Linked DNA regions of Mus musculus. The protein of the gene in region 1 interacts with the protein of each later gene in a pairwise test. Links are inferred from orthologs where the notes say so. Each region holds a gene or a part of one and is shown in the gene's direction. Other genes may lie near its edges. The genes, in order: Creb5, Fosl2 and Spry1.

The links.
Region 2: the proteins of Creb5 (region 1) and Fosl2 interact in binary tests that used the Homo sapiens proteins (3 or more experiments, as listed by UniProt). The two-hybrid records come from large-scale screens. The link is inferred for Mus musculus from reciprocal best matches to the Homo sapiens genes CREB5 and FOSL2.
Region 3: the proteins of Creb5 (region 1) and Spry1 interact in binary tests that used the Homo sapiens proteins (3 or more experiments, as listed by UniProt). The two-hybrid records come from large-scale screens. The link is inferred for Mus musculus from reciprocal best matches to the Homo sapiens genes CREB5 and SPRY1.

The regions. Positions count from the first base shown.
Region 1 is NC_000072.6:53,285,867-53,290,202, forward strand, and holds the start of Creb5 (cyclic AMP-responsive element-binding protein 5), read left to right. Parts: upstream 1-1,436; 5' UTR 1,437-1,507; intron 1,508-1,508; exon of another isoform or gene 1,509-3,616; intron 3,617-3,622; exon of another isoform or gene 3,623-4,336. UniProt on the Homo sapiens protein: Binds to the cAMP response element and activates transcription.
Region 2 is NC_000071.6:32,134,882-32,139,349, forward strand, and holds the start of Fosl2 (fos-related antigen 2), read left to right. Parts: upstream 1-1,590; 5' UTR 1,591-1,822; coding exon 1,823-1,924; intron 1,925-4,468.
Region 3 is NC_000069.6:37,638,764-37,642,746, forward strand, and holds the start of Spry1 (protein sprouty homolog 1), read left to right. Parts: upstream 1-1,183; 5' UTR 1,184-1,342; intron 1,343-1,756; 5' UTR 1,757-2,045; intron 2,046-3,791; 5' UTR 3,792-3,846; coding exon 3,847-3,983. UniProt on the Homo sapiens protein: Inhibits fibroblast growth factor (FGF)-induced retinal lens fiber differentiation, probably by inhibiting FGF-mediated phosphorylation of ERK1/2. Inhibits TGFB-induced epithelial-to-mesenchymal transition in lens epithelial cells.

The DNA.
Region 1 (4,336 bases):
GTCTAGTCATGATCCTCTGGCAGACTACACAGTCAGGCTGTGATGCATTGGGATGAGAGGCACTATATAAATGTCAGATGTTACATAAATGTCAGGAGCCATTATTGTTTGTTAATGGGGGCTAAACTGTTCCTAAGCAAAGATCCAACTCCCAGCCAGCAAGCTCTTAGTTGAAGTTCTAACCAGTCAGCCATCAGAAAAGAATTAATATGCCTGATTCTACCAAGGAACCCAGGTGAGATCTGGGGTTAGACATGCGCTAGAGTGGTCCCTGATGATCAGGAGAGCTCCTAGCCTTCTGAGTCTGTCTGCCTCAGCTCAGCTGTGAAATAGAGATAATTACAACACACTCCCCGCTTTTCCTTATTCTGTCAAAGTCATATGAGGAAGAAGAAAATGGTGTGGCTTCAAGTGTTTGGCAAAGTGTGAGCTGTTGTTGGATGACAGTGGTCATTTCGAACAGGCTTTCAATGCTCCCCAAAGGGAGAGAGAGCTTCCAAAAGGAAATCTAGCCCTTGCCAGGGATGAGGAAGGTGAGAGCGGTGGCTTCTGGCCCATGCTGAAAAAGGTCAGTCCTCTTTTCCCTTTGCAGACCTGGCCCTAGATCCTGTATTCTAGCCCTGGCTCGACTGCTTCCCAGCCGGCGAGCTTGGGCCAGTAGCAGAGGCTCTGGAAGCAATGGCCAGGGCCCTTCCGGCGCTGACGCGGAGTCTAAATCCGGCTCATCATTTGGCTCTTGGCTGAGATTCGCCTTTCGCCTTTAGAGAGATTCTCTCACAGGTCAGCACATGCAAGGTGCGAGACCAGGGAAGGCTGTGTGTAGTCCTACTGAGTGTGCACAAGAAGTTATATGCCCTTGAGCGTGATGAGGAGAGGGGCGGCGAAATGGAGATACTAAGAAGCCAGCATGCAGAGAACGCTGCAATGAGGTCATGGCTGTCACAGGCAAAGGATCTGGGTATCTTCGGTGGCTGGGGTAGGGAAGTAGGAAGTGGCCTGCATTTGTAAGTGTAAATGTCTCTTTCTACCTCCTTCAGCATCCTTACCACCTCATGCACACACCCCAAACCTTACTTCTTTCTGACCCTACAGACACTTCTTGCAGAAGAGCTCGTGCCGGTGTCTCCTGCGTGGCTCTGTTTGAAACCTTCAGGATTGTTTCCAAGCTGACTCACACCACTAATGTCGGGGGGCCGTGTTACTCGGCGCTGGGCTGTGCAAGCTGTTGCTTGCGCGATCGCGGACGCCGCCGCAAGCACCCGGGTCCGCTCGAGGGGCGGGATTTGGGCGGGGCGGAGACCGGGCCCGCCCCCTCGGCGTGCGGGCCCCGCCCCTCTCTCCCTCCTTTTCCCCAACGGACCGCAATGATTTAGAAGTTCAGGAATCCCACGTGACGTCACCGGGGGGGTGATGTAATGCACTCTAAATAGAATGTATTGTAATCTTTGCTCAGTCCAACGTGGTCCCTTCACCCGGGCTCGGCTCTTGCCTTCTCCACACTTGTTTGGTAAGTTCCTAAAAATACGGCGCGGCCACTTCTGGGCCTTTTGCATTTAGCCACTTTCGCTGCACTTGCCGCGCGAGCCGACTCCGGAGCGTCCTTGTTTGCAGGGGTTGGTTCATCGCTGCAGCCGCGAGGTTACTTAGTCCAATGGGCAGGTCACAGGGCAAGGAGTAGAAAGGATGCGATGCATTTTTTCCCCCTTGATTTGTGTTTGTAAACACTTTGGCGGATCAGAAGGAAGTCCGGCCCCAATTGCTGGTGGACTGTGGAGTTGTGCTGTGTCCTGTAGTCACCCAGAGACCCCACGCCGTGTCCGTCCCGGAGCGCTTCTTGGTGATTGCTGCGCCGTGCGACTGGAGGGATGCTGAGTGGAGCCAGCGCCGTGTCCGACCCAGTGTGCGTGCGTGTATGGGAGCGCGCGTGAGTTTCCCTGACACGGGGAACAGTTATGAATCGGGGGTGTATGTTTGCCTCCAGAGCCCCGGCATGGTGTGGAACCCTTCTGAAGTGTGGTCAAGCGGCGGTGGTGGTGGCGGCGGCGGAGGCGGCAGTGGTAGCAGCAGCAGCAACAGACCAGGAACCTGGAGCCTCCTCGCATCCCGTTTCTCAGTGATGCAGCGGAACCCCGGGAGAAAGTTAGCAAACTTCCAACCGTTGCGGCAAAGTCGCCTGGTCACCTAGGGGCAGCCGAGCGAGTTCGCAGGGGGTTCTCCCTCTCCCGGGTGCCCAGCGGCCGCTGCCAGTTCTCGCGACCGGCCGCCGGCTGCAGCGGGAGGGTCGGTTGCCTTGGAGGGGGACTTGACTTTCGCTCCAGGCGCTCCAGCTCGAGAGTGCTCCGCAGCCCTCGCCTTCACTCCTGCAGCCGCCTCCCGCCTCCGTCCCCTTTGCGCTGGCACTCTTACTTCTTCCGGGCTGCTGCCCCAAATGACAGCTGGGGCCCGAGCCGCACTGCACCCAGGCGGTTCTCAGGACCGGGCGACAGAGTCTGCCTTTGAGCCAGATTCTTTATCGAACCGCTTAAACTTTTCACAAAGTTCTTAAAGGGTTGAGACAAGCAGACACCGCCCCCACTAAGCCACTTTAGAGGGACTATAGCCCGCTTTAATTTTTCATTTATTTTCTAGTCATAGATTTATTTCCAGGGAGTGTCTAGTAGAAAAAGCTCCAGCTTTCCCTGGACGAGTGCCGCCCCCACTTGATGCTGGTTCAACGCTGGGAACTAGAGTGGGCTACTTGTACATCGTTGTCAGTATCAGCAACGCTTGCTTGGTTTTTTATTTTTCCCTCTTCCTGACATGTGTCAAAGAATAAAGGCTGGCTACAGGTCCATTACGTCATTCTGCAGGCCAGTAAGTGTTTTATTAAGGGCTTCAGATATTCAAGGGTTTGGGGGCTCAGAATGCTGTCAAAGCAACTATGCCCCCATCCCCCGGGGCAATTGCGGGTTCTCTGGACACAGCTATTGCCCTCTCTTTCCCTACCCCTCTTCCTCCATCCCTCTCCCGCCCACCTCGTTATCACTCGGCCTGCCCCCGCCTTTTACAGTTTCCCCCAGGGGGAATGCTGTCCCAGGAGTGAGCTGAAGAGCTTCTGGTGCCTGAGCGAGCTCAGTACCTGATGAACGCTCAATCTGCCCTTTTCTATTATTTAAGAAAGGCACTATCCAGGCCCGTTTTTCCCACGCGAGAATGTTCAGCCTGGATAGAAAAATCCCTGGAAAGGTTTAGAAGCCTTATATGCTAATAGCTTGTGCCTGCAGTGACTTAGGAAAGCAATAAGCCACAGCTAAGAGCCCAGAGCCCCGTGAACCGAGCCTAGGAGAAGGATGAAGGACCTGACTAAATCAGGTTTAGCGGGAAAGGATCTAGATTTGACATTTTATTTCCAAAGTCAAGGAAGTGTCTGAGAGCTGAAAGTACCATACAACACTTTGCTGCTGCTGCGCGCGGTACTTTCTTATCCTTATCCTTGAGTTTCTATGTTTGTAGAGGAAGTTAAACGCCCAATTTAGAGAACTGAGTTCTTCCCCACTTGCTCTTTAAAAGAACACCAGCAGCAAAAACACCACCACGTGTGACTTGTTTCGGGGACAAAGAGTGAAAACTTTTGGGCGTGAGTGAATAATGATAGCAGAAATCCAGTAAAAACAGACAGAGGCAGAAGCTTTGGGCTGGGGGACAAGGTGTTTGAAGGCGTTTTGATTTGGAGATGGAGGAAGCTAAGTAGAGGAAATTTTATGTTCTAAATAGGTGGCATTCTTGAAGAACACGTGTTTGGTTATAATTAGATCTACTTTCTCCAACATACTCTGGCCATAGAGCAGGCTTTGTGGAGCTCGTGGCTGGAGATCGCTTGACACCCCTTCTTCAAGTTTGTGGCAGCATTATTTATTGGCATCTAGCGATGAAGTGGCATAAGTCTCCTATGGGAAGCATGGGCATTGAAAATGTTAAAATTCTTGTTTGTGATGCAGAGACCTAAAGGGGAAAATGGGCAGGTCACGGGCCCTGGACAGTGTGATTAATGATCACTGATTTAGTGATCAGTGATTAGTGGTTTTATTCAAACTGTTACCTCTGACCAGAAGCACACATCAGAGGATTAACAGGCTCTTTAGATAAATGCTCATTAGTGGAAGGGGAACAGCAAAGATAATAGGCATGCACCCAGGGACAACTTTCGAAGAAAATCATTCCCGTCTTCAGAATAATAAGCTCTGTTAACAGAAAGCCCTTTTAATTTAAAACTTGCTTTTATCTTGTAAATCAAAGTTAGATGTAAAAGTTTGTAGTGCCATTATAACCTAAATTTTCCCATATCCATGAGATGTGG
Region 2 (4,468 bases), on another chromosome or scaffold:
ATTAAAAAAAGAAAAAAGAAAAAGAAAAAAAAAAAAACAAGCGCGCGCGCGCGCACACACACACACACACACACACACACACAACACACACACACACAAAAAGGGGAAGCAGTGGGCAGCCAGGCTCCGAGTGAAAAATGGGCAGGCCAGCCCCGCCTGGCGACGCCGCGCCGCACCCCGCCAAGACCCGGCCGCAGGGTGGCGCGGGTGCCCGGTGCGCCCAGGACGCCCGCTGTACCGGGCGGCGCCGCTGAGGGTGCGGACGACTGCGCACGGCCGCGCCCTCCCCGCGAGCAGCTCTGCGCGCCGGGCTCTCTGCCTCGCGGTGGCGCCGCACTGAGCCGCCCGTCTCGTCTTCAGGGCTGCGATTTTTTTTTTTTTTTTTTTTTTTTCCTTTTCTAAAACCCGGAGCCCAGGCCGGCGCGGCCGCTTTCGGGGCCCCGCCCCGCGCCCCTTCCTTTTGGTTGGGGATGGAGGGGAGGAGGTAGGGAGGCCAGGGCGCAGGCGGGAGCAGGCGAGGGAATCCCTCTCCCTCCACGTCACCCGAAGGCGAGGAAACCCGCATTCGCGTCCTCTAACGCAAATGACCATCTTTGGCAACGTGCGCCAATGGAACAGACCAAGGGCGCTGCGCCCCAGGGGGGGTGGAGGAGTTCGGCGAGAACGCGGGCGGCCTCGGCGCCCCCGTAGTGCGAGGGCCGCGCTCTCCCACCCTCCCCGCCTCCCGCCTTCCTCGCGCGGGGTCTGTGGCTGGCGTCAGCGCGACCGCGAGCGAGGCCGGGAGGGGAGCGCCCCGCCCGCCTTCTCCCCTCCCCTCCCGCGCCTCTTCCTCCTCCTCCTTGTCCCAGGCCTCCTCCCCCGCCGCCTCGAGCGCTCCTCCCAGCAAGGTGGAGTCTAAGGTTGACGTGAGTGGATCCACATGGTGCGGGGCTGGAGAATAAAGAGTGTGGAGTTGAACTCGTGCCATTGTAGTGACTCATCTCGGGCAGAGCGCAGGGGCTCGAAGCGAGACAGTGAGCGGCGCTCGGCAGGGACAGAGAGAGAGAAAGAGAGCGAGCGCAAGAAAGAGGGGGAGAGAGGGGAGGGCGAAGCGAGGCGAGAAGCGCGAGGCTTGGCAGGTCCTGGAGCCAGCACGGGGTGCAGGTCACTGCGACGCGGAGCCACGTCCCTCTCAGCACCGCTCAGCCTAGAATCCCACGGGCGCTGTCCCACCGGCGCGATCGGGGCCGCTGGACCGGCGCTCACCGCCTTGTCCTAAGTCAAGTGTCCGAGTCGCCGGGAAACTCAGGCGGCGAGTTGGCCACAGGAAGTTTATTCTCGGGCTCCTTTTCTAAAAGGAGGAAACAGAAGTTTCTCCCAACCGGCAGCTTTTCTTTTTCGCCTTTTTGGCGCCCTGAGAGATCGGGGAGGGAGTCCCCCAGAGCTGCCAAGCGACACCCGCGGGGCTCCTAGTCTTTTTGCGTTGCCCATTTTTCTCCAGCCCGTGGGTCCCGGCAGAGCTCCGGCTGCGCGCGGGGGCGGAAGGGCGCGCGCAGGGGAGGGACCGAGGGACGCGCCGACTTTTTAGAGGGAGGGACTCGGTGGACAACCGGTTCCGCGGAGCTTGCAGAGCAGAAACGAAGTGCGGTGCGCGGCGATCGGGGGGGTCACTTCCCGAGTGTCGCTGCCTCCTGTCTGCCTTGGTTAGGGGACATCCCGGGAGCGAAAAGCCCAGCCCGTGGCCGGGCCGGTGGACCAGCGAGCGCGCAGCAGACTGTGCGCGGCCGCGGCGAGGGCGGGGAAGAAAACCACCCTGTTTCCTCTCCGGCCCCCACCGCGGATCATGTACCAGGATTATCCCGGGAACTTTGACACCTCGTCCCGGGGCAGCAGCGGCTCTCCTGCGCACGCCGAGTCCTACTCCAGCGGTGGCGGCGGCCAGCAGGTACGTGCGGGCCGGGGTGCACCTGGCGGCGCGGGCAGACTCCTACCCTCTTCTTGCTCCCACTGCCTCCACCCCCAACCTCCTTCTTTTCCCTTTCCTAGCCAGGCTAGAAAAATACTTCACCGCTGTAAGTTGTGGGTTTCTTTTCTTTTCTTTTTCTTTTTTTTTTTCCTGTTCCGCCCTACCCACTCTCCACTTTTCTTTTTCTTTTTCTTTTCTTTTCTTTTCTTTTTTTTTAAGCAAGTGGAGAGTGGGCTTGAAGAGCCAACGACACCCTCTCCCCCTTTTCGTACTTAATTTTCCAGAAAAGCTCTTGAAATTACAGGTCCCCTCCGGGAAGCCTGTTGCCTCCTTCCGAGCCGCTCTCCCTCCCTTTTCACGTTCCTCTTTCTAGGTAGTGGATAGGCAAGAAAATTTTTGCGCCCCCTAAGCCCCTCCCAGCCGTCAAGGACCCTACGGGGGGGGGCGGGGGGGAAGGCTTTTTAACCCTTTCTTCTTCTGTTATTCTTCGGTCTTAGCTGTTTTCTGAAAGGGATTGGGGACTCAAAAACAAAGCTGGGCTCCTTCAAGTGTTTGGGAGTGAGGGCGAGGGTTGCCCCTGGGAATTAGGTGCGAAGGTCAGGAAGGAAGAAGCTGGCTTTGATTGGCTCTTGACACCTCCTGTGACACCCCCCCTCCAGCTTCCGGTAAGGGTTGGGCAGGAGCCTGTACTTCCCCCCCCCCCCAGCAGAACTTTGAGGGGCTTGGGGGTACCTGGGGCAAAGAAGCTGTCAGAGAGAAGTGGGAGAAAGAGACACATCGCTTGAGCTCCTGAGTGGATTTAGAAGTAGAAAAACATCTCTTTCTAAAGCAGCCAGACTGGTTTGCACTGAAGGATTGTGCCTGTAATCTGTGTCTTTGTAGGTACCAGACAGGTATTGGTGGGGCGGTAGGGGTGGTAGGGTACCTGGCCTGTGTCGCAGGAACCACAAACACCATCTTGTGAGGGAATTGCATGAACTCAAAAGGTCCTCTGCCACCTGAAGCCCACCTTGGCAAGCATCTGGGAGTTCCTAGCCAAGCTGGCTGCAGCCAGAGTTACTCCATAAGCCAATAGCCATGGCCTTGACTTTGACCTTTAGAAGTCAACCAGATAGGAGGTCAGGGGTCTTCCAGGGAAGGGTGGAGTGAGCTGGGAAATATAATAAAAATATGGCTTTCTTTGTAATCTGACAAGAGGGGCACCTCTCTCAAAGTAATGTTCCATATCTGGGGAGTCCTTCTAAATGACTTTTCTGTGTCTAGCTCCTCCCAAGCCCCATACCTACTAAGCACCCACTGTAGACAGCCTGGTCTGAGCATTGAGGGTCCAGTCAGTGGACCCTTTCTTACTACTGAACACCCAAATCATACCTGAGAAGTAGTCGCTTATGTTTGCATCCCAGTACATTTGGTGTTTTGGGTTGAACCCAAACATCACTCATCAATGGGTTTAGAGTCCTTTATACCTGTTGTCCCCTACTTTCCAATCCAATAACCCCACCCCATGTACCTCTCCTTTCCAACCAACATAGAAGCTTTGCGTTTCTGTTTCTTCCACTAATGAGACCAAGACAGTGAGCACTGACAGTACAATCTCCCTGCCTGGCTTTGCTCAGACTCTGGGGCCTGGATGGGAAGTCAGACCGGACATCAGTGCCCCAACTGAATAATCTGTGTCACTAGGGCTTTGAGCCCAGGATGTGAGCGGAGGCAATTCCCTGTTTTGGAAGCAAATCAGACAGGAAACCGATGCTCGGATGAAGGAAGAGAGCTCCGTCCAGCAGTGTGTAATAGGGCCTCATTACCCAAGCAAAAAGCAGCTGTTGGCTAATTCCTAGCATGCTGTAACACAGGAGGATTTTGCAATTAGCAGCAACCAGTGCATGCGATTCTCAGGTATAGCTGCCTATTCTGCTCAGCCTTATGAGCAAGAAGTCTTTCAAACCAGAGGGATTGGCAAGGTAATGCCACTTAAGCCAACTCTCAGCCTTGTCGGGGCGGTGGGTAGGAGACGAGGAACAGGGGGAAGGCTTCCCCCTCCCTGATCTGGCTGTCTATAAAACTGTTCTGTGGTCCCAGTGATAGGCCTCTGTTTTTGTTACTTCCCAAGTCTGTGCTGCTACCCCACCCCAATCTGGGCTCAAGGTAACTTTATTACATGCCAGATAAAGTCTGTAATCAGCTCTGCTCCCAGCCCTCTACATGGGGAAGCTTTCCTGGCAGTTAGTGACTGGGCCTTCCTCCTTTATGACTGCACGGTGGACCAATCCAATCAGTGGAACTTGTGAGAAGTTCCTGGTTTTCCTTGTGCAAGTGCATACTATTTTCCCCCTGTTCTCCTTGTTTGTGGGGTCCTGTATCCCCATAAATTTGCTGTCTGGCACTCCCCCCCCGACCCCCCCCCCCGCGACATCTAGCTTCATAAGGTCTTAATACTGCGTCTTAGTACTAAGTACCTAGTACTTCCCCACTGACCTGTGGGGTGGGAGGCAGACAGCTCTTTGTTAAGACCTCTGCTTGTGT
Region 3 (3,983 bases), on another chromosome or scaffold:
CAAACAGCTTCTTGGCTTTTAATACGTTCTATTACCTTCTAGTGCACTTTCTTACTGCTGATCTTCTTCATAGGGAGTGTCCTGGGTTCCTTGCATGTAATTCCACACATAACCGTGAATTCTAAAAACATTCAAAAGCTTGCAAATGCATTATGCCAACAACAACAAAAACTTTATAAAAACTCACTGCAATTGTTAAGACTTAAAAAAAAAATTACTTTGAACCCAAAATATCCTAACTCACATTCACAGGTGATTTAGATCATGGAGTTTTTGTTTATCAAATACCATTCCTGATAAAATTCCCTGGAAAAATATTTTCTATCAATATTTTGGGGGTCTTAGGTTATTTTTAAAACTCTATGGAATTTTTAATTCCACATACAGCCCTTTTCACTACATCCTGAGCTATAGCGTCCATATAATAAATAACCAAATTCCATAGTATGTAAAGACGCAAAAAGCATTCCCAGCTTACTAAAGTCCCCCACCCCGTGACAGACATATGGCTAAAGCTAAAACTTCCTGATGAGTTATGCTTATTTTATTTCATTTAAAATGCATTGGTGTTTTGGACAAAATTATACAAACATTACAAAGCAGGAAGAACTTGGGCCCCGTTTTCTCCCCTTCCCCTCCCCCCGTGTAATTTTAGGGATCGTATCACAAACCAAATGGAGCAATCACTAAAACCCCACAGCAGGAAATCCCACCCTTTAGTGTGTAATTATATTACATTTGCAAAAATGACTGTTCTTTCTGAAACTTTCATATTTCGCATGATCTGAACTTTGCACTTTTCCCTTTATCTGGGGGCACGGTGTCATGGTGTACACATTTTTTTTTCCGTTGTTGTTGGTGGTTTGTTATTGTTTTTTAAATGTTCTTCACAACTCTTTTTAAACTCAACTCTAAGGGTGGCTGCACCAGTCCCCTTAAATTGGAGGCTGACAGCTCACGACTGACAGGGGCCCTGGAATGCCCGCTCCTCCCCAGTTGCGCTCGCAGGACTCCTGCAGGCAATCGACTTTTGTTAGAGCGTCCTCGAGTCCACATCCACGATCGCTGAAATCCTGCTCCGGGTTTTCGTGCAGCCCGCGTGATTGACACATGATATCACCGGGGGCGGGTCCCGGCGTGGAGGTGGAGGTGGCGGCGACGCTGAAATGCTGCGGAGCCCGCGCGCGAGTGCTCAGCACGCAGGGGTTTGCGGCGGCCCCGCAGCCAGAGCTCTGCGGGCTAAGGAGCGGCTGCGAGCGGCGTGCATGTGCCGGGAGGGCCGGCCCCAGGCTCTGCACTAGGTAAGAGCCTTCCCCTCCCGCCGAGGACCTGGCAAGATCAGGTGAGAATGGTGCTTTATTTTATTTTATTTTCGAGGAGCTGGACGTTTTCGGAGCTGGCTCTAGCTCTGTGCCCGGCGCTTTGCGGTCGGCCCTGCAGCGAGTTCCGTAGCCAGGCAGCGAGTTACGCGTGTGCGAACGCGGGCTGGCACCGCCGCGCACCCGCGTGTCTGTGCGCATTGTTGGGGACCGACCCGCCGGGCGCTCGTGCCAGACCTGACTTTTCCCGTCCCTGCGTGCGGGCTTGCCTCGCGCAGACGCGTCTCTCGGACGCGCTTTGGACTGCGGGGCATTCCGTGGGGGCAAAACGTGCACGGCCGTGTGTGTCCGGGGCTCGTGGCTGTCCATCTCGGCGAGCAGGACAGCGTCCCGGGCTGGCAAGGGACTCACGTGTTTCTGTCTCTGCTCGTCTGCAGCCGGCGTGGCGACTGCGGGGACGCGGACCTGCGGGGACCCGAGAGCCCGGGACGACGCCGGGCCGCGCGCCTGACGACCGGGACGGGACGGTGCTGTGGAGCGGGCGCCGCGCGCACCCGGCGGATGTCCCCGAGCCGCCCTCGGCCGCCGCCAACCGCGGAGAAGCGCCCCTGCCCGGGGGCCGCCGAGGCCGCAGCGCGGGCCATGCGCGCCCGGCCGCCCCGCCGCGCTTGATGCGGCGCGCGCTCCGCCCGCTCGGCGCCCCCGGCCGGCGCCGCGGAGGCCGAGGTGAGTGCGGGCGGCAGGTGCGGGCCGGGGCGGGCCGGGCGGTCCTGGCGGTCCTCGCGCAGCCCGTGCCAAGCGCGCGGCACCCGATGGCGCTGGGGACCCAGCGCCCGCCTGTGCTCGGAGCGCAGTGCCGCGGGACGCGGGGAGAGGGCGCTGCCTCCTCCCGCCCGCGAGCTGTTTTCATTCATAACTTTATCCGGCCGGACCTGCCGCGGCTCGGTGCCCCTGAGGTCTCGGCGTGGGGCCCAAGCGCCCGACGGTGCTACCCACACTGCTGTCCGCGGGTGCGCACCGGCTTCGCTCTGGACAGTTGCGGGGTGCCTAGGTGCTCCGCCTGAGCGAACTTGCTTGGGAATGCCCTGTAAAATGCAAATTAAAGCCGTGCCTAGGGGTTTCATAACTCAAACAAGCCGTGCCCACGTCTTCCTTTCTTGTGGATGAGACTTGGCATATTTAAAGTCTTCGTTATGGAGTTTTAAATTTTTAAAAAATAGATATGGCACAGGAGCAAGGATGGGCAGTTTTCTAGTGTCGTTTAGGGCTTCGGCACCACAACATGCTGTTATGGCCGTGCATCTCATGTGCGGAGAAGGTAGTTATAAGCTTAGAGGGGCCTCCAAAAAGCTAACACATATGTAGTCTGGGGACATTAGTTAGCATCCATAGTAAACCGACGTATTTGTTTTGATTTTCTTTGGATGCCAGAAAAGTGCAAAGGGGTGCCTTCTTGAATTAAGGTGCATCTGTGAGTTCGGAAGGCATTTGTGTAAAAAAATATCTTAGATACCTATTGCCCAGAAACAGAATCGAAAGAGTTTGGTCTGTCTCAGGAAGAATACGTTATAAATTGGAAGCTATTTCCTTTTGACATGGAAGTTGTGTTTGTTGTCTATCAGTGTATTTATTTTACTACAAAAAGCAGGTCAATTCAGGGCTTGTGAAAATCAAGGTCTGTCGTGCTAATAAATGAAGGGAATTAAATATAATGTAAAAAGACCAGGGCTCCTCTCCCTGCTTTAAAGGGCTGACACTTGTGCATAAGTTATCCTCGTTGTGTGGGGGAGCCTTGATTAACCTTTAAGGAAAGCTAAGTCCACACCGTCCGGGTTGTGTTCTTTGTGGCAGAGCACTCTTCATTCTTTGTAGCTTCCTTTGCTCGTCTCACAGATCTGTGTGATGAGCTAGCTTCAGACCCGGACTTCTGCTGAAAATGGCCTTTTGAGATTCCGAGTGAGCTTGGAATAGCCGGTGTTTTGGAAATTGCCTTGATTAATTTTCTCATTAATCTAAAGCTCGTAACAGCATATAAATGGCCGAGAGGCCACAGCACTAAAGCCATTCTTAATCTTTAAAAAGTAGCTGACATTTTCCTTACGTGAACTGCCAGTGAACTGACAGTGAACTCTGAGAACAGTTCCAGGGCTCACACTGAATTGCTCTTTCGAAGGCATATTTCATTTTAATTATTTGTTAGGTTTGCAAACAGGAAGACACGACTTCCTCTGCTTCTTAGAAGCTGGAGAGCAACTTCTAATTTTTAAGGCATGAGGTCTTTGCTGTCTTCCTGTGATATGGTCCTCTGCAATCTTTTTTTTGGAGTTGGACTCTGGCCAGGCTTCGGCATCATTGAAATCAGCCGATGAAGGGGATCATTACCAGGTGGCTTGGGGAATTTGTTACTTGACAGCAGCCCTTCTCCCCCAAATCCGCTTTCTGTCGCTTATTTTCTCTCTCACTCTTCTTTAGGATTTCAGATGCATGGCAGATTTCCGCTGACTGCTGGAACTGGAGATCACTCCACATGGATTCCCCAAGTCAGCATGGCAGCCACACTTCGCTAGTGGTGATTCAGCCACCGGCTGTGGAAGGCCGGCAGAGGTTAGACTATGACAGGGACACTCAGCCTGCTACGATTCTGTCCCTAGACCAGATCAAAGC